4 linked regions of the Elephas maximus indicus genome follow. The protein of the gene in region 1 interacts with the protein of each later gene in a pairwise test. Links are inferred from orthologs where the notes say so. Each region holds a gene or a part of one and is shown in the gene's direction. Other genes may lie near its edges. The genes, in order: PRMT1, HNRNPR, BTG1 and SPEG.

The links.
Region 2: the proteins of PRMT1 (region 1) and HNRNPR interact in binary tests that used the Homo sapiens proteins (3 or more experiments, as listed by UniProt). The link is inferred for Elephas maximus indicus from reciprocal best matches to the Homo sapiens genes PRMT1 and HNRNPR.
Region 3: the proteins of PRMT1 (region 1) and BTG1 interact in a two-hybrid assay, tested with the Homo sapiens proteins (2 studies listed by BioGRID). The link is inferred for Elephas maximus indicus from reciprocal best matches to the Homo sapiens genes PRMT1 and BTG1.
Region 4: the proteins of PRMT1 (region 1) and SPEG interact in binary tests that used the Homo sapiens proteins (3 or more experiments, as listed by UniProt). The two-hybrid records come from large-scale screens. The link is inferred for Elephas maximus indicus from reciprocal best matches to the Homo sapiens genes PRMT1 and SPEG.

What each region holds. Positions count from the first base shown.
Region 1 is NC_064829.1:100,127,087-100,134,233, forward strand, and holds the start of PRMT1 (protein arginine N-methyltransferase 1), read left to right. Parts: upstream 1-4,127; 5' UTR 4,128-4,197; coding exon 4,198-4,233; intron 4,234-6,438; coding exon 6,439-6,492; intron 6,493-6,736; exon of another isoform or gene 6,737-6,830; coding exon of another isoform or gene 6,831-6,848; intron 6,849-7,069; coding exon 7,070-7,147. UniProt on the Homo sapiens protein: Arginine methyltransferase that methylates (mono and asymmetric dimethylation) the guanidino nitrogens of arginyl residues present in proteins such as ESR1, histone H2, H3 and H4, FMR1, ILF3, HNRNPA1, HNRNPD, NFATC2IP, SUPT5H, TAF15, EWS, HABP4, SERBP1, RBM15, FOXO1, CHTOP, MAP3K5/ASK1, MICU1 and NPRL2.
Region 2 is NC_064821.1:63,785,915-63,793,092, reverse strand, and holds the start of HNRNPR (heterogeneous nuclear ribonucleoprotein R), read left to right. Parts: upstream 1-4,166; 5' UTR 4,167-4,260; intron 4,261-7,178. UniProt on the Homo sapiens protein: Component of ribonucleosomes, which are complexes of at least 20 other different heterogeneous nuclear ribonucleoproteins (hnRNP). hnRNP play an important role in processing of precursor mRNA in the nucleus.
Region 3 is NC_064822.1:156,807,334-156,815,030, reverse strand, and holds BTG1 (protein BTG1), read left to right. Parts: upstream 1-4,683; 5' UTR 4,684-5,003; coding exon 5,004-5,151; intron 5,152-6,086; coding exon 6,087-6,454; 3' UTR 6,455-7,402; downstream 7,403-7,697. UniProt on the Homo sapiens protein: Anti-proliferative protein.
Region 4 is NC_064824.1:118,009,001-118,016,468, forward strand, and holds the start of SPEG (striated muscle preferentially expressed protein kinase), read left to right. Parts: upstream 1-4,468; 5' UTR 4,469-4,524; coding exon 4,525-4,915; intron 4,916-7,468.

The sequences.
Region 1 (7,147 bases):
TGGGTAAAGTAACTGAGAACCCAGGTGTCATACTGGTTGGTAATGTACTTGTCTCACCACCTGTCAGTTTGTCATACTGTGGTGGCTTGTGTGTTGCTAGGATACTGGAAGCTATGCCACCACTATTTCTGATACCAGCAGGGTCACCTGTGGTAGACAGGTTTCAGTGGAGCTTCCAGGCTAAGACAGACTAAGAAGGCCTGGCGATCTATTCCAAAAATTGATGATGTTGTTGTTCCTGTTAGTTGCCATCGAGTTGGTTTCAACTCATAGTGACCTTATGTCCAAACGAATGAAACACTGCCTGGTCCTGCACCATCCTCATGATCATTGTTATGCTTCAGCCCATTGTTGCAGCTACTGTGTCAGTCCACCTGGTTGACAGTCTTCCTCTCTTTCACTGACCTTCTGCTTTACCAAGCATGGTATCCTTCTCTAGGGACTGGTCCCTCCTGATAAGACATCCAAAGTATGTGAGACAAAGTCTCACTCCCAAAATTAACCAGTGAAAACCCTGTGGATCATAACCGAACATTGTCCAACTCACTTTGGACCCCTTCACAGAATATTATCAAGAGGGAATAATTGCTGGAGGAGGACATCGTGTTTGGTGGAGGAGCGGGCCAGCAAGGGATAGAGAGACTTATCCTGAGATAAATTAGCACAATAGCCATGACAATGGACTCAAACACGCTGGCAATCATGAGAACCAGGGAAAGTTTCCTTCTGTTGTGCATAAGGTTGCCGTGAGTCAGAGTCACCTTGACAGAGGCTGTCTCTCTCTCTATGTATGTGATATATCAAACTTATCAAATTACATGTGATTAGGTGCTTATTATTTTATATGAATTACACCTTCAATAAAGTTGATTTTAAAAAACAGCAACAACTAAAAAATGAATTTCTGTTTTCAGACATCCTGTGATCAGAACACGGTCAGCCACTTGCTAGGAGTTTGACCTTGACCAAGTCACTTTACCTCACTCAGTTTCCTCTCTTGTAAAATGGAGGTGATGATAGTACCTACCTCAATGTACTGCTGGGAGGATTAAATGAATGAATTTATATAAAAGTTTTAGAAGAGTGGCATAACCCGTTGCTGTTCTGACTCATGGTGACCCCACGTGTTACAGAGTAGAACTGCTCCCTAGGGTTTTCTTGGCTGTAATCTTTACGGCCAGCCTTAGTAGCGCAGTGATTAAGAGCTTGGCTGCTAACTAAAAAAGGTAGACAGTTCGAATTCATCAGCTGCTCCTTGGAAACCCTAGGGAGCAGTTCTACTCTGTCCTATAGGGTCACTATGAGTCAGAATTGAATAGATGGCAATCTTTTTTTTTTTTTTTATTGTGCTTTAAGTGAAAGTTTACAAATCAAGTCAGTCGCTCATACAAAAAGGTATACACACCTTGCTATGTACTCCTAGCTGCTCTTCTCCTAATGAGACAGCACACTCCTCCTCTCCACCCTGTATTCCCCGTGTTCGTTCAGCCAGCGCCTGCCCGTCTCTTCCTTCACATCTCCCCTCCAGAAAGAAGTCATAGATGGCAATCTTTATGGTAATTTTTATGGAAGAGCCCTGGTGGTGCTATGGGTAAAACACTCAGCTGCTAACTGGAAAGGTCAGCGGTTCAAACCCACCAGCTGCTGTGCGGGAGAAAGACCTGGCAATTTGCTTCCATAAAGTCGGAATCCACCTGATAGCAACGGGTGGCCACCCTCCACCCAGGCTGTTGTGTTGTTAGGTGCCAATTCATAGCAACCCCATGTGACAGAGCAGACCTGCCCCATGGGGTTTCTAAGGCTGTAAATCTTTATGGAAGCAGATTGCCAGGTCTTTCTCCCGTGGAGTGGCTGGAGGGTTTGAACCACAGACCTTTCAGTTAGCAGTTGAGTGCCTTAACCATTGGGCCAACAGAGCTCCTTGAAGGGTGGCTAGTGCCTACTAATTAATGCCTGTTGGTAAGCTTGATCCATATTTGGCCAAACCTACAAAGTGGCAAATCTGTCTTGGAAAAAGTACAGCCAGAATGCTTCCTGGAAGCGAGGATGGCGAGACTTCGTCTCACGTACTTCGGAGGTGTTACCAGTAGGGACCAGTCCCTGGAGAAGGACATCATGCTTGGTAAAGTAGAGGGTCAGCAAAAAAGAGGAAGACCCTCAACAAGATGGACTAACACAGTGGCTTCAACAATAGGCTCAAGCATAACAATGATTGTGAGGATGGCCCAGGATTGGGGCAGTGTTTTGTTCTATTCTACATAGGCTATGAGTCGGAATCGAGTCGACAGCACTGGCTTTGGGGTACACAGGGTTACTATGAGTCAGAGCCAACTTGATGGCACCTAACAACAAATAACAACAAAGTGGTAAGGAGTTTGTCTTGAAGGATAAAGAAGTGTTAGCTTCTCCCCTGGAGAACAAAGTAAGGGGGTGTTCAATGGCACAAAAGTGGGAAAGGTGTGAGCTCAGGGAAGTAAAAATAAAAAAAAACCAAACCCAGTGATCGAGTCGATTCCGACTCATAGCGACCCTATAGGACAGAGTAGAACTGCCCCATAGAGTTTCCGAGGAGCGCCTGGCGGATTCCAACTGCCGACCTTTTGGTTAGCAGCCATAGCACTTAACCACTACACCACCAGGGTTTCCCTCAGGGACGTAGGAGGGGCTTATTAGGGCAGAAGTGATGGGGAGGGTGGTTGAGGCCAGGCAGATGATCGCGGCAGCTAACCACGCTGAGGGGGCTGGGACCTTGTCCTGGGGGTGCTTGGGAGCCAAGGGAAGTCTTTGAGTTGAGGAGGGGCGGGGTCAGCTCTGGGGACAAGAGGATGTGGGTTACTTGAATGGAAACTGTTGGCTGAGAGGTAGGGGAGGAGTCTGGGACGATGGTCCAGGAGGACGAGGACAGTACTGGCCGAGAGTCAGGGCAGGAGGGGCAGGGCTGGGGAATGACATACTTAGGGAACGAGGGGCTGACTGCCCTGGCTGGTGACTCGGTGGGAGGTGGAGCTGTCCTGATTTGGGCATCCGGGAAGAAGAGAGGCTGTGAGAGGACGTCCTCAGTGCGGGGGCGTCATGGTGGGTGTTAGGAGTGTCTGTAAGTGTGAAGTGATGTTGGAAACCTTACACACCTAAGAGTTCACCAGGGAGGAAGGAATGTCGGGGACCACAGCCTAGGTATAGACCCAGAGATACTAGAGCGAGCTCATCCCGGGACTGGAGAGAAGTTTGGATTGAGGAGAGTTAGTGGGATAGGTGACAGGAGAGGCGAATTCATCTTCATTCAACGACTAGTTTTTCTGCAGACCAAGGAAGGCTTCCACAGGAGGTAGTGTCTAAGCTGGGCTCTGATGGATGTATAGGAGTCGGTAAGACAAAGGCTGTTCCCGGCAGGGAGACGGGCTCGGATAAAAGCCAAGAGGCTTCAGATGGGTTGTTGTGTTTAAAATACTTAGAACCGTTAAGTAGACGGCTAGGAGTTAAATGCTTTGACGTCTGACTTGATTCGAGACCCCAGACAAACCTGCTCTCTTTCTAGGCCTCTTTCTGCTTCAGTTTTTTCCCCCAGGTAAATGGAAACAGTTTCCCTTTTTTCTCCTAGAGTCCCCTCCGGCAGGAAGAATACCCCCGAAAGGAAGATGAGTGACAGTTCCTTTGAGCCAATTGCTGGGACCCAAAGTCCGGCTTTCCTCCCCTCTCTGGGGCCAATTGCCGTGTTCTTCTTGAGGTTGGCGAGGGCTAGCTAAAGACCTCATGACGTCACCCTCTGGATAAACCAATGGCAGCGATAAGAGGCGGGCCGTTCTGGTGATGGATGGCTCTGTTTCAAGATGTCCGCTTAGCGCGGGGCCCGCCGGGAAGCTTAGAGGCGGTGCTGGGGGAAGGGGCGGGAACTTCTAGTTGACGTCGCCCAATCACCACTCCGTTTTCTTGCGATGGACGGGCCGTCTTCCCCATCCCGTTCGACCTGAGGGGGCGGGGTCCTGCACGCTAGACTGGGCGGGCCTCTAAGCTTTGCTCGATATCGCCTTTACCCAATTGTTAACCGGTATTTCCAGACGGGCCGCCCCCATTGCCAATGAAATCTCTTGGTGGAGTTGCGGTGGGCGGGCCGTGGACCCTCCGGTATAAGACGGTCCCGGGGGAAAGCGGAGAAAGGGGGGGTCTCGGCCGCCAGAGGAGGAGTAGCTGCGGGTGAAGATGGCGGCAGCCGAGGCCGCGAACTGCATCATGGAGGTGAGAGCTCGGAGCGCCGCCGGGGTCGGGAAGCGGTTTGGGGTCTGCGTTTTAAGGTCCTTCGTGGGGGAAGGGGCTCCGAGTCGGCGAATTGGGGCTGAAGGTACCCAGCCGCACTGAGACGGCGCCGCATGCCCCGGATCTGGGGATATCGTTTGAGGTGGGAGGTTCCCTAGCTTTCGGGGCCTTGCGGTAGCTGGCCGAACCAGGGGTCTCAACCCCCCACCCACGTGGAGGCGGGCTGGGGGCGCTTCCGGCCGAGCCCCCACGTGGCCACGACCGGGTGGTGGGGAGGGGGTGTGCCGTGCCCGGATGCCCGGCGGGCTCCACGTGCGGGACAAAGGCCCCGCCTCCAGCCGGGGGAGGGGCGCCGGGGGGCGGGGAGGAGGCTCCGACCCTGCGTCGAAGGCCCCGAACCCCTGTCCGCGGGAATCGGGACATACACCGGGGGGGTGGGACTCACCTGGGCCCACTGCGATGTAGTGGATCTCCTGTGAGGTTCAGTGCCTTCCGACCCTGTACAACCCCCTCCCCAGGTTCCGGGGCATCTTTTGGGGCACAGGTCCAGGTTTTGAGCCCTCTTGGGTTGGGATTGGAGGAAGGAGAAGAATCGGCCTCCTTCCAGCCCCAATTTCCTGCCCCTGAACTCTTCCCCTTGCCCAGGGCTTTAGGAGCTGGGGGATGGGGCATGCCCCTTTGACCTCTCTCTGGGTGGGGGGATGGAGGCCATCCTTCCAGATAAGGTGCCGTGCACCCCCTTGTGGCCATTTCTGGGTGTGTGGGAGGGACAGCTTTTTCACGGGGCGTGTCCCGAAGCCCACCTTTTCCTTGGATCCCTATCGGGCAAAAGGGGGCACATGAACGCTGGGAAGGCGATCTGACAGGGTATGAGCGCAAAGCTTTACCGCTTACTGGAACCCTTTCTCTTCCTGTGGCATTTCCCACGGACGACCCCCCTTTCTGAATCCCTGTGTGGGTGTCCTGAGTCTGGGTGCAGGGAAATGGTTTCCAGTGAGGCTTGGTTTTCGTGTACCCGTGTGGGGAGAGTAGTCCTGTGTTCCGCGGCCTCTTAGGCCAGGGTTGTCTGGTGGTGGTGGTGTCAGATGTATTGGGAAATGGGGCCTGGGTCGGAAATCTTCTCACCAGCTGCCCTTATGGGCATCCTTACCGGCCAGTGGCTCATGGCCTGTGACTTGGCCCTTCCTGGAACCTGGAGGGAGGGTGGTCACATCTGGAAGACGTGTTATCTGGTGGAACGTCTGTACCCCAGCCCCCTATCTTATAGCCTTTTCTGGAGTGTGGAGGGTCAGTTCCCAAGATGCATACCACTGGAGGACAGCTCCCAGAGGCCACTCCAATGCCCCCACCTCCCTTGGCTCGCTCCTGGACCCAGAGCTCTATAGGTGGAGCAAATAACCTTCCCCGGGGCTTGCCTCAGCTCGTGGCCCCACACCTGGGGGGCTTCGGGGCCTGGGATGGGTGTCTGAATGGGAAAGATGGGGGTCTGACTCTTGGAGCCACATCTTGGTCCATCTTCTTCCTAAGAGGCTCCAGAATCTGTCCGGGCTCCCCAAGACACTGCCTTCCTGGTCATAGAGAGGGGCTTGGTTCTAATTGGTTTTATTTTGTGCTCCTGCACCTGGGACAGGAGCCTAGGGGCTGGGTTACCAGCTCTGGTGGGGGTGTCTGCGTGCCACACCTCCTTTCTGGAACCCTCTCAGTTGAGAGACTGGTGTGCAGAGGTGGTGGTTGCCCAGTGGGCATACTCTGCCAGGCCCCCCAGCTATTCCTGGCACCCCAGGATGGGGATGTGTGTCAGGAAGTGTCACCTAATCTGGGGGGATTAAGAGGGAGGAGGACGACAGCTGGCAGTGCCCGTGTGCCCGGCGGGGGGCCAGGTTCTCTGGTGTGGGTGGGGGAGGTATGCGGTCAAGTGCCTGGCTGGAGGGGACAGTGTAGGGGCGGGCCACCATCTCTCCAGCCACAGCTGGGACAGGAGAACCCCCTTACCCGCCTCCCCCACTTCTCTGACCCCTTTTTGAAACAGCCCTGCCTCTTCACACTGTCACCACTCCCCACCAAGAAAAAGGAAAATTGCAGGGAACCCCCTCCCCAAGAGCCCTGGTTCTGAACCCCCGACCCTGGCCTGTCCCTCCCACAGCCACTCCCAGTAGCTAATCCTTTCTCCCTGTTACTCTCTCCTAGAATTTTGTAGCCACCTTGGCTAATGGGATGAGCCTCCAGCCGCCTCTTGAAGAAGTAAATATCCTTTTGTGAGACCCCTCCCCACTCTCACCTCACCTCCAACTCAATCTAGCTTGCCACCGACAGGCCCTTTCTGGCGGTCCAGCCTTTCCAGCAATCTAACCATGATCCCTCTTGCTGCAAACTAGTTTATCCCGTGCCCCCAAAAACACTTAGTACGGTCCCCTCCAGGTTTGTAGCCCCCCTCTGGCCTCCCCAACACCGTGGCTACTTCCTTAACTCCATTTCCAGTCCCCACTTGCCCCCCGGCCCTGTGTCTGCCCCAGCCCTGCCTTCCCCTCCCCTCCCCAGCTGTGGGCTGAGCTAGAGACGGGGGCAGAGAGACTGGAGAGATGGTAGGCGTGGCTGAGGTATCGGGGTGCCCTCCTGGATGGTGCTCTCGGGGGGCCTGGAAGAGGAAAATGGGGTTTGGGGTTCCTGGGGGAGGCGAAATGGCAGAGGGGGCTGTAGGGTTGCCGTGGTAAGCCTTTGGTGGAGTCTACATGCTCCAGGCAGAAGTAGGAACCTGGAGGTTTGAGAGGCTGCAGGGAGCCCCCAGATTTGACCCATGCTCCCATCCGCCCTCTCCCAGGTCTCCTGTGGCCAGGCAGAGAGCAGCGAGAAGCCCAACGCCGAGGACATGACGTCCAAAGATTACTACTTTGACTCC
Region 2 (7,178 bases), on another chromosome or scaffold:
AGGGCAAAAAGTTTCAAAATCAGAGACTACCAGCACCAGGTGTGGGAATGTGAAGGCTTATAAAGACAGACATTTAACCTTACTGATTTTGATTTGAAGGAACCCTGGTAGCACAGTGGTTAACGCTTGGCTGCCAACTGAAAGGTCGGCAGTTCAAACCCACCAGCGGATCTGTGGGAGAAAGATGTGGCAGTCTGTTCTCGTAAAGATTGCAGCCTTGGAAACCCTATGGGGTAGTTCTATCCTGTCCTTTAGGGTTGCTGTGAGTCAGAATTGATGGCAACAGGTTTGGTGTTTTGTTTTTTTTTTTTTGATTCAACTCTTCTGACTGTGTGTCATAGGGGTTAAGAGAATGGAATTTGTAGTTAGATGTGAGTTTGGCACTTTATTTTTTAAAAGAAACATAATCCTAGGAGGTAGAAATGAAAGACAAAACCTTCAGCTCTAGTCAGTTGTTAGCACAGGGCTTGACTGGAGCGCCACCATTTCGGAAAGTACTTTAAAATAATAAAAATTACTAAAGTTTGATGAAGAAAGTAAGTAGCTCCATTTGACAAGAGGAGAGAAATGTTGAGGTAGAACTGAAGTTTTAAAGTAAAGCTGGGTAGGGGATTTGGCACCTAAATATCTGTGGGTGTAAAAATGGTGTAGGGATAGCGTCTGATTTCCTCTAACTTCACAAGGGGGAAGGAGAATCAAGATCAACAGCCCAAGGCTGATTCCCATGAGGCAGAGGTCAGACATTCCTCCTCTCTCCGCCTTCTTTACAAATTCTGATGCCAACATTCCTCCCACAACACTCTACGTCTCTGCTGCGTTTGATAATTCCTTGCAATGGCCACACAGACCTCACAGACCATACTCACAGTTACGAGGTTTATTTGGGAAGTAACAGGTTACAATTAGGGTTCAGGAACACTCAGGATACAGTTCTTCCATCAGGACAGCCTCTTCTCAGCCATGTTGCAGGCAGGTCTCTCACTGTCCCTCAGCCCCTAGATCTGGCCTCTGCCCTGCTCAGGCAAGTGTTACAAAGCTGTTTTAGTTCTGCCATTAAGTGCCCTGAGGCACCCCACTCAGCCAGCAAACCTCTGCCCAAAGGTGCTCAGCTCTCACTCCGTAAGCCTGGAAGCCCACAGTGCTGTCTCCTGCAGTTCTCCTGGTTCTGCTGCCTTTCACCATCTCCAGTGTTACAGCCCTCCGTCTCTGTCCTGGCTCTCCTGCCACTGCTGCCTCTCTGTCTTCTGTGTTAGAGCTCCTCTCTCTCTCTCTCTCTCTTCTTGTGTCTCCCTAGCGGGAAGGCAAAACTGACCAATCCCCTTGTTAGGGTTCCATATACCTTATTTGCATGGTCCCCCTAAGGGTCCATGCACATTATTTGCATTATTAGCAAGCTGTCCAATCCCCTTGGTGGGCCACAAGCACCTTATTTGCATAGTCCCACCCAATCATTTGATGGAAGTTACAAAACCGTGGCAAGAAAGGCTATATAAAAACAGTCCATTGCACCACAGTGGGACAAAGAACTAAGTCTGGCTTTTTGTATCTGGTTCATGAAAATAGTCCGAGCAATTAAGGTACCTTTTGTCTTTATAGCTAGGCCATACTTTACAAACAAAAAAAAGCATTGCTGTCCTGACTCACATTGACCCTATAGGTCAGAGTACAACTGCCCCATAGAGTTTCCAAGGCTGTAATCTTTACAGAAGCAGACTGCCACATCTTTCTCTCTCAGAGTGGCTGGTGGGTTTGAACAGCTGACCTTTCAATTAGATCCTAATGCTTAACCACTGTGCCACCAGGGCTCCTTTACATAAGAAAAAACAAACCTATTGCCATTGAGTTGATGCTGACTCATAGTGACCCTACAGGACAGAGTAGAACTGCACCACAGGGTTACCAAGGCGTGGCTGGTGGATTTGCACTGTCAACCTTTTGGTTAGCAGTTGAGCTCTTAACCACTGTGCCACCAGGGCTCCCTAAGCCATACTTAAACGTACGTAAATGATTGGGAGAAGTACAGCCAGAATGCTCCTTAGAAGCAACGATGGCAAGACTTCATCTCACGTACTTTGGACATTTCCCTCAAATTCTGTTATCAGGAGGGACCAGTCCCTGGGGAAGGACATCATGCTTGGTAAAGTAGAGTCAGCAAAAGAGAGGAATACCCTCAATGAGATGGATTGACACAGTGGCTGCAACAATGGGCTCAAGCATAGCAACAACCACTGTGAGGATGGACAACGACCGGGTGGTGTTTTGTTCTGTTGTAACTGACTCCATGGCACCTAACCACAACCTTTAATACAAAGGTCCCCAAGTGGCTCAAATGGTTTGTGCTAGACTGCTAACTTAAAAGTTGTCAGTCTGAACCCATTCAGCAGTACTGTGGAAGGAAAGGCTTGGCAATCAACCTTCCAGGTGATTCTAACTTACTGCACTTACTGCCGAGAAAACCCTATGAAGTGGTTCTACTCTGTAACACATGGGATCTCCATGAGTTGCAATCAACTTGTGGACAACTAAAAACTCTTAACACAATGATATGGTGCAAAAGTTAGCCCTTGAGCCAGAGACTAAAATATGTGAAGCTCATAGTGTTTAAAAGAGCCTTAGTGGCACAGTAATTAGTTGCTGGGTTGCTAAGTGAAAGGTTGGTGGTTTGAACCCACCAGCTGCTCTGCAGGAGAAAGATGTGGCAGTCTGCTTCCATAAAGATTATAAACTCGGAAACCCTATGGGGCAGTTCTGCTCTGTCCTATAGGGTCACTAGGAGTCTGAATTGACTTGAGGGCAAAGTTCAAGCTTCATAGACCCTCACTTTTACAAACATGCACTTCCAAGACTCCTCCTAAACTTGCCATTTTATATTATTTTTCTTTAAGACCCTAACATTTGTATACGTCTTATGCCCCATAACACAAAAACCGCAGCATTTAGCTCGGTACTGAGCACATATTAGGTTTTCAATCATTAATTTTTGATTGATAGGTTCTGGGAAATTTAAACGATCCTCGAGTTTATGAGGCAATTCTGCTGACCACTGCTTTATCTCCTCCACTCCTTAAGAGAAATGGGGCCTTAGAAGTTGGGATAGGCAAGGAAGGAAGGTCTAATCCCACAGAAGTAAGCTTGGAGGGTTTCTGTGGAACAAGACAAGATTAGACTGAAGGTGAGGGCAAGAACCAAGCGGTAGGGGTGGAGGGTGAGAAATAGTTTTAGGAATAACGGTAATAAGACTCCATTGGCACCGCTCCTCCGGCTTCGTAGATGCATATATCTGCCTTATCTACTTTATGGATATTAATTAGCTCCAGACCCCGTGGGAAAAATGTTTCTGGTCTATCTTTTGTGCTTGATACTGTCATGCCTTTAACTGTTGTTGTTGTTGTTAGGTGCCGATGAGTCGATTCTGACTCATAGCGACCCTACGCACAACAGAAGGAAACACTCCCCGTGTTTTAGCTATTTCTCTCAAATTCTGAGCTGCCACCAATGATAAGAAGGGAGCCAAGGAGGCAAAGAGCCAGTTTTCTGATCATTACAGGGGATGATTTTCTATAAAAAATTCTCTTTCAAAATGACGAGCCTAATCACCCTTAAATTGTGTTCTAACTAGAGCCAAAAAGATGACCTAGACAGATGCCCGAACGCGTGGCGATGGGCGTGTCTGGGGCGAACGCCGGCAACAGCGCGAGGATTAGGGAGCGATGCGACGCCGGCGAAAGGGCGGGAGAGCCACAGCCGAGCGAGGCCGGCGCGGACGGTAGGGGGCGGGGTTCCGGAGGCGGCCACGCGGCGCGGGGCCTAGATTTTCGGCGTCTCCTCGGCGGCAGACGAAGGAGGAGGAGCCTCCGCCATCCAGGGCCCGGTGCTTCGCAGCCTCGCCGCCACCAGGGGCTTCCACTATAGACCCCTTTGTGTGCCTGCCCCCGCCCCGGAGGCGCCCCAGCCACCGGCGCTGAGTACCGCCATTGGCTTAGCCGACGACTCCACTGATTGGCTTTCGAGTCGTCCGGCTGAGGTCCTCTTCTCCTCGCTGCTATTGGTCGCCTGAGTTGCCTCTCAGGCAGCCGCGCGATGTGATTGCCTAGCAGCTCGGAGTCCCTGGAAGCAGTTCCGGGAAACCCCGCGTGCTGCCGGGATCGCGTCTCTGTCCATGAGGGGGGGAGGGGGTGGCGCGCGCGCCATTTCTAGTCGTTTTCAAAGCGCCTCGCGCTGATTCTCACGGGCCCGGCCGCCGGCCCCTGCTCTGCCCTGGTGAGTCTCGCGCCGGCCCGTGGGGGGAGGGGCCGGGAGCCCCGATCTGACCCGACTCGGTCCTGCCGGGGCTCGGCGCCATGTCCCCTGTTTGCTTTCCGCTCCGAGGCCCCGGGGTGGGGGTGGGGACGGGCTGGGGGCGGCTTCGGCCTGGTCCGGCCGAGCTGCTGTGGGCCTAGCCCCGCTGAGGCTCTTCTCTGACTTCGCTCATCCTACTCCGACCACCGTCCCACGGTCCGGCCCGCCGGGCGCCGTCTGTACGTCCTGCCGAGTCGGCCGCGTTTTTCCCGCCTCGGTCTGCCGCTCCATGCGGCCGCGTCCGGCGAAGGACCTGCGGCGTTCGCGGCCACAGCGTCTCTCCCCACTGGAGCGGCTTCGCTCACGTCTCGGCCGGCCTGGCCGCGAGTGGGCTGTGTTGATGCTCGGGACGGCCGTGAGGGGGTGGGGTGGCCAGCGGGCGGGATGCAAATCCCGGGGTTACCTGAGCCCGGAGAAAACTTTAGTGTGAGCGGAAACTGGAGGGCCGATTTGTGTGGGAAGCGTCTCCCCTCCCCCATCCTGCATGCTGGGAACCGAGATTTGAAGGAAAAAATGACTACTAGAGGCCGTAAAACTTAGGCTACGAGCGGCGCCTAAGATGTGTAATTCTGAGAATGTCATAGGCGCACTAAATTGGAAAGGCGATTCTTTTTCTAATACGGTAGTAACCGTGTTGCCAAAACTTAAAAATTGAAGCCAAGGGGTTCTTGAAAGGTTCAGCCCTCTCACACTACCTGTTTGCGACTTTTGCTATCTCAAGAGGCTGAATTTACGTTCTCATGAGTCAGACAAGGGACTGACCCTCCTAAGCCATGAGATAACCGTTAGTTTCCATTTCGCTGGTTCTTTTAAAGCTTGTCTCTTAACATGAAGAGTTTTGCACAGAGATGTTCAGAAAAAGGGAGGGTCTAGTGCTGATTTTCCAAATCTCCCAGCAGTCCTTTTAAATCTTATTTTAATTTCTACTTTTTGCAACAATATTTAGATCCAATGACTCCGGTCATATTAGTATATTTGCTGCATCCAGAACTATGGTTTGGCTGTGTGGCATTGTGTTCAATTGACACAAGAGTTTTAAATGGTCTCATATGATATGAAAGTCTTTTGTAAATGAGCACTTTGTATTTGGCCTCAAGAAAGGTTTTTCCTTGATCTGAAAGGTTTGATTTTTCCGGAATCTAATTAAAGTATTTTTTTTTTGTTAAAAGTTTACAAAAACTTTTTGAAAATTATTTCAATTTCAGTATCAACTTGTAGAGCCTTTGCAATTAAATAGTAGTCATGAATATTTCTATCTTGTGCTTAATACACAACTTGTCTTTTTTGCTTTTACACATACTTTTAAAACAGTACCACCTTAACAGATTTTCATTGAATTTTTTCTGTTAAAAATTTGCTTCCTTTCTGTGATTAATAGTATTCCAAGGTGCAGTGCTATAAGAGTCTTGTGATACTGAGAACATTTGAGTTCTGATGATCTTATGGTTGTATTTTGGGAGTGGGGGAGCGTGGGAAAACAACGATATTTTCACAAGGAGATTTTGGACTTTAGGGTGCATCTTCGTATTAATCCGTAAACCTTTTCATCTTACACAATAAGCAGTAAGCAGTTTCTTGATAAAAAGTGTGCAGTTTTGAATGTTTTCATTTTTACTAGTTTATCAAAATTTGAGGCTTGCCTTGAGGAACATTTATCCATTCAGAGTTTAACCACAAAGTCTGTGTCTGTATATGGACATTAGAGGGCTAACAAATCTTACGTTTTGTAATCATACGAAGTCATGATACTGTTTATCTCATTTTTAGAGTAACTTTTTCTGCATTTTCCTTTTTTCCTTCTCTGTTACTTCCTTGCACTCTTGGTCTTCCCCTTTCATTAACTTCAACTAAATATCGGTGGACTTTGAAATGGAAAGAAGTTGTTTTAAGTCAGAAAACTGCACTGGAAGTGTGGTTATCTTACGTGTCTTAGTGTTGCATATTTCTTTATAGCTGACTAGCTATCTTGAGTTTCATCAAGAAAAGTAGGCTTTTTCCTGAGATCCACTTTCATGTCCATTTTGTGTTGCAGTGTCTTTACTCTGCTGCCTGTTATCTTCATCAAATTCTAATTTCACCACAGACAGAGATGCCCTTTAACCTCAATTCTGTCTTCTGAGGCAGTGTGGAGACTGGCCTTGTATGGTTTTATTTTCTCTCTCTCTCTCTTCAGGAAGTAGATTTTAGCATTACTTTAATGGCTGAACATACAACATTTTTGGTAGGGTTAACCTTAGAAATATGACCTAAGTTTATCCTAATTAGGTAATGCTTATTGAAACTATTTGAAAGAAGTTAGCTGTCCATTCTTCAAAAATATTTTGCAGCTTTATTTTACTGAAATGAAAAAATTCAACGTATACTTTTTTTTTTTTTAAAGAAGTAACCTCAACTGTAGCTCACTTTTTATTTTATGTGGACTTAAAACAATTGTTTAGCTTTTAATCTTGGTCATTTTTTCTTTTAAATCTGTGAACGGGAATAGCAAATTAATTTTAGAACAAAAATTAACAACAAGTTGTGTTTTCTTTTAAGTGAGGTGGAGAAAACCCAAACGACCACCATGTTGAACTAGAGACAACAGGGCATTTATTGGATTCAAAGCAGAGCTAGGAAAATTCGAAATCCTTAAAAACCTTGATTAAGTGGTCTGTGGATGTTCATTTTGTTTGTAAACCAAACTTCTAAAAACTGTTTTAAGAATTGAGAGCTTGAGGGACTTTTAGAATTTTGTGGTGACTTGTTGATATGCTCACCAGGACACAACAGCTGCTTTTGTTAATCAGCGATCCTATCATCAATAATAATCATCGATAAATTCCAGCCTTTGTTTAACCAAG
Region 3 (7,697 bases), on another chromosome or scaffold:
GAGGGTCTTCCCCTTTTTCACTGACACTCTACAAAGCATGATGTCCTTCTCCACGAGCTGGTCCCTCCTGATAACGTGTCTGAATTACGTGAGATGAAGTCTCCCCATCCTCACTTCTAAAGAGCATTCCTATTATTCTACTGAGACAGATTTGTTTGTTCATCTGGCAGTCCATGGTATATTCGATAATCTTTGCCAACACCACAATTCAAATGCATCAATTCTCCTTATTCATTGTCCAGCTTTCACACACGTTTGAGGCGACTGAAATTACCATGACTTGGGTCAGATGCACTTTTGTCCTCAAAGTGATATCTTTGCTTTTGAATACTTTAAAGAGGTCTTTTGTAGCAAATTTGCCTAATGCAATGTCTTTTGATTTCTTGACTGCTGCTTCCATGCACATTGATTGTGGATCTGAGTAAAATAAAATCCTTGACAACTTCAATTTTTTCCTCTATTTATCATAATGTTGCTTATTGGTCCAGTTGTGATGATTTTTGTTTTATGTTGAGGTGTAATCCATTCTGAAGGCTATGGTCTTTGATCTTCATCAGTAAATAACAACTTTAAATGTATTCAGTTAAAAAGACCATGTTTTTTTTCTGATATTGATGCCTTTCCTATTTGGGGAGTATTAAAATATTATATCTTTTTGCCAAAACGATAATAATAAGAGATATAATTGTAATTTAAAAAAAAAATCTTTTTGTGAAATAGAAGTTTTTCAGCCCTGTATTGATCTCTAAATTTTGTTAGTCCACAAAATACCTAAGTCCATTCCCCTACTATATATGAAAGTGTTTTGTCCCCACCCCCTTTGCCAGCACTTTGAAAATTCTGGTTAGTTGTCCAGTAGTACCTTTATAGAAAGTACTTTCTGAACTGTTTCCAGAAACCTGACATTTGTGCTTTTATTTGCAAACTTCTTTTGAAATACAGCTTTGTTTTCTGGATTTGTTTGGTCAGAATTCCTAAAATTTTTAATGTGAGAGGAAATTTTCTAGGTTTTAAAAATTAATTTGATAATAATATTGTCATCAAATAGAATATTGTGAAATGATGAGATAATAATATGGTAACATTTATTTGAAGGCTTACTTAGCGCTGGTCACAGTGCTAAAAAATATCTGTGGATTATCCATTTGTTGTTGTTAGGTGCCATCGAGTCATGAATTCCGACTCATAGTCTACCCTAAAGGGCAGAGTAGAACTGCCCCATAGGGTTTCCAAGGAGTGACTGGTGGATTTGGTTAACAGCCGAGCTCTTAACCACTACACCACGAGGGATCCTATCACATTTAAAACCAAACCAAAACCCATAGCCATGGAGTCGATTTCGACTCATAGAGACCTTTTGGACAGAGTAGAACTGCCCCATAGTTTCCAAGGAGTGCCTGGTGAATTTAAACTATCGACCTTTTGGTTAGCAGCCATAGCTCTTAACCACTATACCACCAGGGTTTCTCTATCCCATTTAGTCCTCCCAAGAACCTTGTGAAATAGGTGCTGCTATGAGTCAGAATTAGGAACCCTGGTGGCACAGTGGTTAAAGCACTTGGCTGCTAACCAAGAGGTGGGCAGTTGGAACTTACTAGCCATTCTGCTTCCATAAAGACTTACAGCCTTGGAAGCCCTACGGGGTAGTTTGGCTCTGTCCTGTAGGGTCACTATGAGTGTGGATCCTCTTGAAGCCAGTGGGTTTGGTGTTTTATTTTTTGGTATGGGTAGGAATTCGCTGGAAGGCACTTAACAATTACCCTTACGTTACTGAAGAGGAAGCCTAACGCAGAGAGGTTAAGCAACTTGCCCTAGGACACCGGCCCAGGAGAGCCCTGTAGTTTAGCATAACAACACCACAATAAAGTTCCTTTATAATTCAAAAGCTGTCTAGAAATACTGGCTTGTTTCCTGGATAGGAAAAGCCTGACTAAACTTTTGGAAAATGCTTATATACATACATACGTATATCAAAGCCCTGGTGGCACAGTGGTTAAGAGCTCAGCTGGTAACCAAAGGGTTAGCAGTTCGAATACACCAGCTGCTCCTTGGAAAGGGTTAGCAGTTCGAATACACCAGCTGCTCCTTGGAAACTCGTACTACTCTATCCTATAACGTGCTATGAGTACTATTATCGATCATCATGGCGCACTATAAACTCTGTGTTTAGGACCAATATTTTCCTGAGTGCTTCCCTCCCCCACCATATTCAGGCCCTCCAGGTAAAAGAAAACTTTCTTAAATCCATTTGTCTCTCACAGGGATGATTTACAGTGGGGAAACACACACACAAGAAAAAACTCAGTGGGGAAAAAAATTGCCTTGGAGTCAATTCTGACTCATAGTGACTCTACAGGACAAAGTAGACTGCCCCACAGGGTTTCCAAGGCTGTAAATCTTTAAGGAAGAAGACTGCCTGCCACATCTTTCTCCTGCAGAGCTGCCTGGCAGGCTGAAACTGCTGACCTTTCAGCTCACAGCCGAGTCCTTTAACCACCAGGCCACCAGGGCTCTTTTTGGGAAAACCAAGTTCTCCACAAATACCTTACACTTCCCTTTACGCCTATTCAAATGATTTCATAATTTTTTTTAAAGCAGTGCAGTTGCTACTTGGGAAGGCAGTAATGATAGTGGAGAGAACACAGGCTTAGGAGATGAGCCTGAGTTTAAATCCCAGCATTTTGTGAACTTCATTTTTTTCATTTTGTAGATGAGTCAACTGAAACTCAGAATTATTGAGGGTCCATGTCAGTGACTATGTTTGGAAGTGAAAATCACCTGATTTCTAATCTAATGCTCAGATGATGGATAATTTAGGGGAAATGAAGAGAGCAGATGATTTAGGGTGATTGGGGAAAGGGGACACCAGAAGAGCTTGTTTTAGGGTGAAGGTGATTTCATGGAATCACTTTTTAGGAATAGACTCCATGGCACTGGGTGTTTTTTTTTTCTTCTTCTTGTTATTCTTTTAGGGTAGTAAGAGGTTTCACATCCCTTCCCTCCTGCCCAGTGAGGTAATTTATCATGACCTTTATTTTAAGCAAGGTTCTGTTTGAAAAGTCCTAGAAGGAAAAAAAATTTACGTTTACCATTATTTTTGATACATTTATCCATAGAAAATTTATACTTTCATAAAAGTAAAATGCTTTCATCAATACTATTTAAAAACATTCAAGGTATTCCATTTATAACTACCTAATTACTGTGTATTGATGAAAAATAACCTAAAGGTTAGTCTTTCAACCCCAGTTTTACACATTCCATTTAAACAACAAAACTTTTTCTTCCTTGGCTCTACAAGGTCAAGCTTTTTCATTTCTATACCCCTCTGCTCAGAATTTCAAAAAAAAAAACTCAAAAGTGGTGTGTTTTGCAATATTGATGACCAACTGAGCTCAGGATATTTATTTCCATCTGGTAGAGTTCTGCCTCTTGTTTGCTTTCTCCATCTGCCTGCCTCTCCATTTTTTTTTTCCCCCTCGCTCCTTAATGGAGCTCGGTTTAACCCTCTCTTAGACCAAACCGTTTAGCAGGCCTATACCTTCGTTCCAGTTTTTTTTTTTTAAGTTCTTCAAGTAGCGTTGCAAATACATTTTAGTCTACACCTAAAACTTCCACAAGCTTCAATTTTTATATATTTTGTGTAAGGACTAAGAAAGCCCTATGGCTTGGATAGTATTTGTTTAGACCAGAAAAAAAGAAAATTTTTGGTCCTGTGGTCTACACGTTTTAAAACGCATTACAGTTTTTTTTTTTTCAACACAGGATAAGCTTTACAGGACCCGTGTGTTTATTTTCAGTAACTGGCTTTCCTACCAGCATTAAGCTGGATTCAGGTAAGGTTTCCATTCTTCTAACTTTTTAAGTTACTTTAAAACAGCAACCACAAAAAGCCCTACTTGCCTTTTATTTATTTACTTTGCAAGGAAACTTCTACAAAGACATCACCCCACTCCAGCCCCGGGGTTGAGCAGAAAGGGCTCCTTGGCGTTGGCTGCACATCCGCCAGGAGTCCCTAAAGCTGCTGCCGGTCCCTTAGGCAGAATGCGCCGCCGCGAGGGTCTGTTCCCTCCACTTTCCTCCCCACCCGGGGCGCGCCTTGCCGGCACCTACAGTACTGGCACCCACACCTCGCCCCACGCTCCTCCAGCTTGTGGACCAAGCCACGTAGACCCGGAGCGGGGACGGGAATATAAACACGGAGTACGCGCGGGGGCCGGCGCCGCGTACGTGCGGCACGACCCAAGCAGCCAGCGCGTGTAGACACAGCCTCAGCTTCAGGCTGCACGGCAATAACCCTCCCGTGGAACCGGGGCTGGGCAACGCACAGTTGCAAAAGGATGTCCTGGCGCAGGGCCTGGAGTTGCTAAAGCAGGAAGGAGGAGCTAGGGCCGGAGGAGGAGCTTTCACACGCGCACCCTCCGTTTCCTCCCCACACCCCCTCCCCTCCAGCTCCTCGGTCTCCGGCCGCCACTCGGGGTTTATTTGTTTACAAACGGATTACATCAGCTCCTCCCTCTCTTCCCGGCCTCTGGGCCCGCCCCCTAGCCCCTTTTCCCGCCCCCTCCGTCTCCGAATCTGCGTGCGTCACAATGGTGCGATCTCCGGATTGGCTGGCTACGGCCGTCACGCTCCAGCTACGCCACTTCCTTTTCGAGGCGCTATAAAAAGTGCTGCACGGCCCCTGCGTCTCTTCGCCCCTCGGAGCTGGAAATGCAACTGTTGGGAAGTTCAGAGGCTGCGGAGCTGGAGGCGGAGGCGGCTGGGGGGGTCCGAGCGATGTGACCAGGCTGCCGTCGCTCGTCTCTTTCTCTTTCCTGCCGACTCGTGTCTCGAAAATAACTTTTTTACTAAAAAGAAAAGAGAAAAAAGTGTCGTCCGCCCCTCACACCCTCTTTTCCGCTCAGTTACTGCCCTGTGAGGGAGCCCGGGGTGGCCGCTCCGCCGTCGGGGCCGCGCCGCCGAGCCCCGGCCGCCCCGGGCCGCCCCCCTCCGCCGCCCCCATGCATCCCTTCTACACCCGGGCCGCCACGATGATAGGCGAGATCGCCGCCGCCGTGTCTTTCATCTCCAAGTTTCTCCGCACCAAGGGACTCACGAGCGAGCGACAGCTGCAGACCTTCAGCCAGAGCCTGCAGGAGCTGATGGCAGGTGAGCGGACTGCGGGGAACTGCGGCGCCGGGGGGGACGCGGACCCCGAACCCCCGCGCCGGAGTCGCGGCCACAGGAGCTGCAGCCGCGCTCGGGTCCCGTAGTGGGACGCGGGACCGGACCGGCCGCTAACGGCGGGTCCCGGCGAGTGTTTGGGGGCTGGGCCGAGGGCGCGCTCTCCCCCTGGCTGGCACCCGGGGCGGGGGGCGAGGAGGGAAAAGGACACAGGCACAACAAAGAAACTAAAAGCAACTAAGCTCAGAAGCTGCGGTGCGGTTCGAAGACCGTCGGCGGATTTGGGGACAAAGGAGCCGCGGGGCTGGGGTTGGCTCGACCCCCCCTCCCCCAACTCCCTGCAACCGTCGCGGGTCGGCCGCGGATCGGTCCCGGGGTGGGAAGCCGCGCCGCTTTCCCGGAGCCAGTTCGGGACGGACGTGCGCTTTCCCCGCACCTCCTACCGCTGGCCATTAATCATCGGATTTGTCACCGGTACAATTACAGCCCTGCCCAGAGCGTGGTTTAGAATTGCTTGTTTTTCTTTCTTTCGTTTGTAACAGTCCGGTGGTGGTTCTCTCGTCCAAAGCCATAAACTCCATTGTGTGTGCCTGGGGTGGGGTGGAGAAAGTAAACAGGTTCCCGCCTGGCCGCCGGTGCCGTTCGCCTGGCCGAGGCTGCGTGAGTGATTCCTGTTCTGTTGGCTCAGCGGGCTGGTTTGTGTAGACTGTTTTGTCCCGTACTGTGCTGTTTCTAAAACCCTGCCTGCTCTTTGCTCGTCCCCGCACACGCACAGCAGCTAATGCAATTCTGGACATTTTTAAAAGTTGAGAGGTTTTGTTTTTACTCTCGAAATGAGTCAACAGAAGAAGGAAATTACAGCGGGAGCTAATAGTAACGATCTAAGCATTGTTTCTCTGTTCTTCCTTTTTTTTGTGTAGAACATTATAAACATCACTGGTTCCCAGAGAAGCCGTGCAGAGGATCGGGTTACCGTTGTATTCGCATCAACCATAAAATGGATCCTCTGATTGGACAGGCAGCGCAGCGGATTGGACTGAGCAGTCAGGAGCTGTTCAGGCTTCTCCCCAGCGAACTCACGCTCTGGGTTGACCCCTACGAAGTGTCCTACAGAATCGGAGAGGATGGCTCCATCTGTGTGCTGTACGAAGCCTCACCAGCAGGAGGTAGCACTCAAAACAGCACCAACGTGCAAATGGTAGACAGCAGAATCAGCTGTAAGGAGGAACTTCTGTTGGGCAGAACAAGCCCTTCCAAAAACTACAATATGATGACTGTATCAGGTTAAGATATAGTCTATGGATGCATCATCTTATAATGGATGGATAAATTTGATTTTTGCTTTGGGTGGGCTCCTCTTGGGGATGGATTATGGAATTTAAACCATGTCACAGCTGTGAAGATCTGGCACAAGATAGAGTGGTAAAAAAAAATTTTTTTTAAGTGACAGTGCCATAGTTTGGACAGTACTTTTCAATGATTTAATAGCCTGTGAGTCCAAGTAAATGATCACTTTAATTGCTAGGGAGTGAAGTTCTAGGGTGGTTTAGTTTCTTCCAGACGTTATTATACCTAATTTTTACATCAGTCCCTTTAAACGCAAATCTGTGTTTCAAAGAACCTTTCTCTGCAGTAGATCTTGCAGAGGAAATTTGCACTATTACACTTGAAAATTGTTAACCTTTTTGGCAGCTCAGTAGGAAAGCTCAATGTTTTAAACACAGTAGTACTGGAAATTTTATGACAAGACTTTTACCTAGCACTTAAATATGTATAAATGTACATAAGACAAACTAGTAAGCATGACCTGGGGAAATGGTCAGACCTTGTATTGTGTTTTTGGCCTTGAAAGTAGCAAGTGACCACAATCTGCAATGGCAACAGGCTTTAAAAAAGACCCTTAAAGACACTGTCTCAACTGTGGTGTTAGCACCAGCCAGCTTTCTGTACATTTGCTAGCTTGTAGTTTTCTAAGACTGAGTAAACTTCTTATTTTTAGAAAGTGGAGGTCTGGTTTGTAACTTTCCTTGTACTTAATTGGGTAAAAGTCTTTTCCACAAACCACCATCTATTTTGTGAACTTTGTTAGTCATCATTTATTTGGTAAATTATGAACTGGTGTAAATTTGTACAGTTCATGTATATTGATTGTGGCAAAGTTGTACAGATTTCTATATTTTGAATGAGAAATTTTTCTTCTCTCTATAATAAATTGTTTCTTATCTTGGCATTTTAATCAATCTCTTGTCATGATTATAGGGGTTCAGGTATAAATATTTTTCTCAGAAGCCTAAGTTCTGTAAGCTGTGTGAATGTCAGTTGCATACTGGTCGTGCCGAAAATCATTTGATAAGGAATGAAGATGATTTGTGTATACATATTTAGGTGTTAGAGGAACACAAAGGTAACATTTTTTGAAGTATAAAGTCAAAACATGGACACAAATGCACAGGCTAATTCATGAAATGAGAACAAGAGACAAAGGTAACATCTACCAAAAAGATACTCAGAGGATTACATTTTACTGCTTC
Region 4 (7,468 bases), on another chromosome or scaffold:
CCCCAAATGAGGGGGTGGAACCGGAAGGACTGTGGAGGCAGAAATGCCCCTAAGTTGGGAACTGAGGGCTCAGAGGGCACTTTCCAAGCCCGTCTGTCCACTCTGGCTCCCATCTATCTACTGCCCCTTGGAACAATTCCTTCCTTGTTCCTCCCCTTCTGTTTCCTCTTACCTCAGCCTGTCCAGGGCATACATGCAAATAATACATTAACGACCATTGACTGGACACCTAAATTGTCAACTACCCAAAGGCAAGGGTTTTTATCTCTTTTGTTTGCTACTCCACCCCTGGTGCCTGGAAAAGCACCTGGTTTGTTGCTGTTGTTAGGTGCCTGGTACAAAATAAAGGAAAACAAACAAACACAAACCAAACCCTTTGCTGCCAAGTTAATTTGACTCAGGGTGGGTGACCCCATGCATTTCAGAGCAGAACTGCATTCAATATGGTTTTCAATAGCTGTAATCTTATGGAGGTAGAGTACTAGGACTTCTTCTTCAGCACTGCTGAGTGGCTTTGAACCAACAACCTTTTGGTTAGTAGCTGAGAGCGAACCATTTGCACCACCTGGGACTTTGGCACATAGTAGGTGCTCATTAAATATTTAAAGAATTAAATATTTATTGAATGAATACTCACCAGGCTACTTTTTACTTACTTTTCTCTCAATTTAATATTCATAAGGTAGAGCTGATGGCTCCCACTTCATTCATTGCCTCAACAAACTTTTAGTGAGTTCCTACCATGTGCCAGCCACAGCACATCAGTATGACTCCGAGGAAACTCTCCATGGCCCAGAGAGGTGGGGCACCCTGCTCAGGTCACGCAGCAGGTCTATGGCAGAAGAGGACCCAAACCCAGGCTGCTTGGCCTCTGGAGCCCAGATCTCTTTCCATGACACCACAGGCTTGTGATCGAAAGGCAAGCAGGCTGGCAGCACACACACCCAAACCAGTGCCAGGCCGCAGGGCACTGTGGGGCCCAGGCTGAGGGACTGACAGCGCCTTGTAGCCAGCTGCCTTGAGCGACAGTCCAGGGCCTGCTGGCTTCTGGGTGTTGCAGCTGGTGCGGGCTCCTCCAGAAGAGGGTGCCAGCGGCTTGCACGGGCCTGTGCCCTCCCCGAGAGGCCTGCAGCCCGCTGTGTGCACATCAGTGAATGCCCCAGTATGGATTTTCGGAGCATGAGATGTTCCAGGCTCTGTGCCAGGCCCTTTTAAATTGTTAATATTCATTTTAATATTTAATATAATAATTTAATGCCACCACAACAACGTAAGTCAGATCATGTAATTCTTCTGCTCAGAACCTTCTGAAATGACTTCCCGTTTTACTCAGAATAAACGCACCATGGACTACAAAATGTTAGGTGACCTGGCTCCTGCTACCTGGCTGACCTCATCTTCGCCATTCTCCTCCTGACTCCCACCAGATCTCCATGGCTTTCTGGCTCTTCTCGGAGCCCACCAGGCATAATCCCACCTCTGCCTGAAGTGGTTCTCCCCTAGAAGTCTGTGTGGTTTGCTTCCTGCTTCCTCACCTCTTCAAGGCTGGCTCAAATGCTCCCAGGAAGGTCAGCTCCAACCAACTTATTTAAAAGTGCAGTCCCTCACCACACTTCCACCCCCTTTACCCTGCTTGATTCTTCTCCATAGTGCTTATCACCTTCTAGCGATCTTTATGGCTTCCTTATTTATTTATATTTATTTGTCTCCCTTCTAGAATGTGAGCAGCAAGGAGACAGGAATCCTTGTCTGTTTTGTTCACTGCTGTATCCCTAGTGCCTAGAATAGTGCCAGGCACATAGAAGGAACTCAAAATTATTGAATGAATGAATAGGCCCTAAGTAGGTTACCCCCATTTGATAGATGAGCAAACTGAGGCTTAGAGATGTTAAATGAATTGCCCAGGATCACAGTTCATTTATTCAACCAATTAATCGGCCAGCATTTACAGTACTTGCTGCTTTCCAGGTCAGTTGTTAGTGCTTGGTGGCTTTGGGTCATTAGTTTATTAAAAAGTAGTGCTTCTTTGCCATTGATGCTGCAGCTGTTTGCAATGCTTTTCCTATATTTTTACCTGTTAAAATTTATCACAGTGGTTGCCAGGGGTTGGCGGAGGGGAGTGTGATTGGCTACAACGGGGATGAATAGGCAAATGTTTAGGGTGATGGAACTGCTCCGTATCGTCTTGGGGTAGTGAAGACGTGATTCTATGCAGTTATCCAAACCCAGAGAACTGTATATCACAAAGAGTGAGCTTTAATATATGCAAACTACAAAACGATTCAAACCAACCCTTAAAGCTCTGATCCCTATGGACTTAATTCAGTGTTTAAATAGTTTCTTCTGTGCCTTCTCCATATACACATACGCTTTGGCTTCTCTGAGACTGAGGGTTGTGGACCAGGAGACAAGATTAAGAGTACCCTTCTCTATGTCCAAACGACTCATGGCTCCTCCTTTGGCTCCTCTCAGCACTTCTCATCTCCTGGCCCTGGGCATCATCCCTCAGGGCTCAAGGTCAGGTCTGGGTCTTTCACTTGAACTTTCCAATTTTCTAATTTTGAGATAATCGTAGATTAACATGCAATTGTAACAAATAATACAGAAAGAGCCTGTTTACCCTTCACCCAGCTTCCACCAATGGTAGTAACTTGCATAACTATAGTCTAGTACAATACCACGACCAGGAAATGGACATTGACACAGGCTCCACCATGTTCAGATTTCACCAGGTTTCCATGCACTCATTAGTATGTGTGCATGTGCACTTAGTTCTGTGTAATTCTATCACATTCTATCATGTGTAGATTCATGTGACCACCACCACAGTCATGTTACAAAACCATTCCACCACGAAGATCTCACCTGGACTTTTAAAATTGGTACTGTTCTATCTTGATGTTTCTCAAAGTGCAACCCTCAGGTGCATCAGAGTCACCTGGGCTGCTTGTTAAATGTGGAGATTCCTGAACCCTCCCTGTTTTCCCTCCTCTCCCCTAATGAACCAGCATCTGTGCGGTGGGGCCTGGGAATCTGTACTTTTAACAGGTACCATGCTTTGAGAACATTCTCTTTGGCCTCCAGCCTCCAGTCTATCCATCACACTGTGGCCACCAGAGAGATCTTTCTAAAACACAGCTACAACCATGTTATTCCTCTTCTTAACACACTGTGGTGGTGCCCACTGCCTTTAGGGTAGAGACAAAACAAGAAAAGCCCCCTGGGTCAGGCCCTACCTCCCTTTCCTCTATTTACCCTACCACAAACCAAACCAGTTCCTGTAGAGTTGATTCTGACTCATGGCGACCTCATGTGTGTCTGAGTAGAACTATACTCCATAAGATTTTCAACGGCTGATTTTTTGGGAAGTAGATTGCCAGGCTTTTCTTCCTAGGCATGTCTTGGTGGACTAGAACCTCCAACCTTTCGGTTAGCAGCCAAATGCATTCACCGTTTGCACTACCCAGGGACTCCTCACCCCACCACATATGCACACACACACACAAACCTCAAACTAGTTGCCACCAAGTTGATTTCTGACTCATGGTGATCCCATGTGTTTCAGAGTAGAACTGTGCATAAGGTTTTCAATGGCTGTGAATTTTCAGAAGTAGAAGCCGATCACCAGGCCTTTCTTCCAAGGCACCTCTGGGTGGATTCTACCGCTAACCTTTCATTTAGGAGCCAAGCGCTTTACCATTTGCACCTGTAATTCAGTTACTCCAAACTCCTGATTCTCTGGATGCGTCATGCTCTGATTTTCTTTATGCTGTTTCCTCTACTGGAATGTCCTTCCATTCTCCTCAGCCTGTTGAAACCCTATTCAGCCACCCATTTTTACAGATGAGGACATGAAGTTTGAGAAAGGTTAAGGTGTCGCCCAGCTGGAGCCGGAATCCACCTGAGTCCCCACTCCTGGTCTTAGTGTTCACCAAGCTGTCAGTCCTGGAGGCGCAGGGGGAGGCCCTCTTCCCAAACTGTTTGCTCACCTCCACGTGGGCTTGCCTCCCCACTTGTTTCTCCAGCTCCTCGCCCACCCTGGTCACTTACCTCCTCCTCTCTCCAGCGTATGAGGCTGGGACTTAGGGCCCTAAGAAGAAGGAGGAAGGAAAATAGGATTGAGCTCAGGGGGTAACCCGACTGCCTGAGTGGGCTGCCTGGGGGGCAGGCGCACCAAGGCGGGGAGGGGGCTTGGAAAAAGACCCCCAGGGACCCGTTTAAGCCAAGGCGGGCGATGGGGGCTCCTGGAGGGAGGGAAGGAGCAGAGCGGAGTCCAAGTCCCCTCCTCTGCTGCCCCCTCCCTCCACAGCTCCTCGAAACCCGAGCCGGGGGGCCTAAAAATAGCCCCCGAGGCTCAACCACCGGCCGCCCTGGTGACCTTCTGGGTAGCACAGGCCGAAGGCGGGCGGGCGGCAGGATTGCAGGGCGCCGGCCCCCCTGGACTCATCTCTCAGGGCACCATCCCCCGGGTGTCCCCGTGGCTGCCAGGTTCCAGCGTAACCCCCAGTCCAGCTTGCAGAAGCTATGCAGAAAGCCCGGGGCACGCGAGGCGAGGACGCGGGCACGAGGGCACCCCCCAGCCCTGGGGTGCCCCCGAAGAGGGCCAAGGTGGGGGCCGGCGGAGGGGCCCCTGCGACTGCACCCGGGGCGCCAGTCTTCCTCCTGCCCTTGAAAACCGCAGCGGTGCTCGCGGGCAGCGACGTACGGCTGCGGGTGGCGGTGAGCGGGACGCCCAAGCCTAGCCTTAGCTGGTTCCGGGACGGGCAACTACTCCTGACCCCGCCGGCCCCGGAGCCCAGCTGCCTGTGGCTGCGGAGCTGCGGGCCAAGGGACGCCGGCGTGTACAGCTGCAGGGCCCAGAACGCGCGGGGCGAGGCCTCCTGTGAGGCTGTTGTCACAGTGCTGGAAGTTGGAGGTAATGGAGAGGTGGGGGCACAGCCTGGGGGTGGGGTGCACCCAGGTAAGGAGGGGGCCCTGGCCACTTTGGGGAGGCACCGTTTGTCCTGCCTTCTTCCAGGTACCCTGGCTTCTGGCTGTTCTGATCCACAAGTGCAGACCAAGAGGGCAGTGCAGAGAAGGGAGACTCAGGTAGATAGGCTCCCCATGACAGGTTAGAGTCATGTAAAGCCCCAGCCGCACTCAGCCCCAGCCCTACTCAGGTCTCTCTGGGAAGTCCATGGCAGAAGCCCTCAAGTTCCCTGCAGAGAGAAGCCTCCTAGGGGACAGTTGTCTTCTTCAGCTTAAATACTTTAAAGTTAAGATCACTAATCAGGCTGGGATGTTGGGGGCTGGATTCACTGGCAGTCCATTACAGTGTCAGGGTTGGTGTGGTCAGCAGCAGGCTGGCTGGAAGTGGCCAGTGGGGGCACAGGTGGGAACAGGGTCCAGGGCATCGGGAGGAGCTGGGCTTAGGGTCTCTGTGGGCATGTATGGAGCAGGGTGTTTGAGGAGCCACATGCCCGCATATGGGGAGTGGAGATAGGCTGTGGAGGGGTCCGGGCTGGGTTATGGTGGGACAAGCAGAGGAGGGATGAGGGCTTGTGGGGTTGGTGTGGGAAGCCCATGAACTATGTCTACCTGAGGTTCCAGAGATGTTTGGAGGGTGCAGAAGAGGGATGCTCAGGGCTGGCACTTGGGTCCCTGAGCATGTGGGGTTAGAGTTGCAGGCTTGTTTGTGAAGGGACAGTGATGGTCTGAGGCAGAAGAGGAGGGGCATGAGCCTGGGACCTGTACTTACGGTCCTGCTGGAGCTGGCATAGGTGCCAGGCCAGAGCCATTTCTACTTGGGTCTGTTTTTGGTCTTCTTTTCTTGTTTCCTCAGCCCCTAAGCCAGCCAAAGGGTTCTTCTCTCGGCCAAAGAGAGAGTCTTGGGAAACAGAAATCTGAGGCAGAAGGTGTAGTTGAAGGAGCCCTGGTGGCGCAGTGATTAAGTGCTTGGCCACCAGCAGCCACTCCGCAGGAGGAAGATGTGGCAGTCTGCTCCTGTAAAAATTCACAGCCTTGGAAACCCTTTGGGGCAGTTCTACTTTGTCCTATAGTGTTCCTAGGAGTTGGAGTTGACTTGATGACAGTGAGCTTGGTTTTAGGTTAAGCTGCAGTTGGGGGAGCTGGCAAAGAGCTGAGTGCCATTGAGTCTGTCCTGGGCATTTTCAAGTTATCCAGAAAATCATCCCCAGGTAGCTGCTGAGAAGAGGGACTTCTCACTCCAACTAGGTCGGGCCGTTTAGGGGTAACTCCTTGTGGGCTGGGAAGAGGCACTGGAAAGGAGGACATCAGCAGCTGGAGGTGAAAGGAGGCCCTAGGGTGCACCAGGTAAGGAGATGGAGCAGCGGCCCTGCTCCCTCTGGTAGCATCTCCTCTCTCCCCTTAGCCCGCCCTGCCCACCTCCTAGAATCTCCAGTGACTGGTTCCTTAGATCCCTGTGGCAAGGAATCTTTGTAAAGATGGGACAGAAAGGGTCAGGGAAGGGCAAGGTTGGTTTCTCCTGGTTGGCCCAGCACTTGGCCAGGCACAGACTTCCCCAGTCTGGGAGTGGGGTCAGGGGGTGGAGTACATCCTGGTAGAGCTCTGATCTGGGAAAGGAATGAACTTTTTGGGGATCTTAGCTCTGGGCCTCTCAGGGACATTGAAACATTGGAAGTTTGAATCCACTCAGAGGCACCTCGGAAGAAAGGCCTGGAGATCTACTCCCCAAAAAATCAACCATTGCAAACCCTGTGGAACACAGTTCTATTCTGACACACAGTGGCAACTGGTACTGGTAGCTCTGGACCCCTCAGAGACAAAGGGTTCTGAAAATAGAGCATAAATCTAAGGGTAAGAGAGGCAGGTTGATGAGAATATGAATAGAGAGATTAGGGAAGGGAAGGGCTGAGAAGGGAAGTGGTGGTCATAATGTTTATTAAAAGATGGAAAGCATTACAGAGAACCACTGCTCCAAACACTTCCTTTACACATGAGGAAACTGTGGCCCAGAGGGGAAGGAGGCCTGCCTAAAGACATACAGCCAGTTATGGCTGTCCCAGAACTGAGAACCCGGTCCTGCTAGTTTGGACTCTGGGTGACTTTTACTACTCAAGAAGTTCAGGAGGAAGGTGAAAGAGGGGGAGGAAAAGGGGAGCTGTCCAGTGTGTGGGGAGCAGTTGCTACAAGATGGGCCCAGGCCTGGCCTTCTGAGGATGAGAGCCTCCTGGCCTGCCCTGGTCTCCCAAAGTGGGGAGAGTGGTGGGATGCTAGAGCCCCCCAGCAGGGCAGTTTCTACAGCCCATCTGTAATGTGGGTGGCATGGTCGGCAGAGCTGAACCCTGGCTGGGCACCTAGACAGAGGCTAAGGAGACAGTCTCCAAGCCGAGCTGCCCTGCTAGAACAGCAGGCTTGAAAGACTTGGGGAGCTGTGGGCTAGATTAGGGGCTTTTTGTGATTTGGGCCAACAGTGAGTGGGAAGAAGGTTGAGTTGTGGCAAGCCACA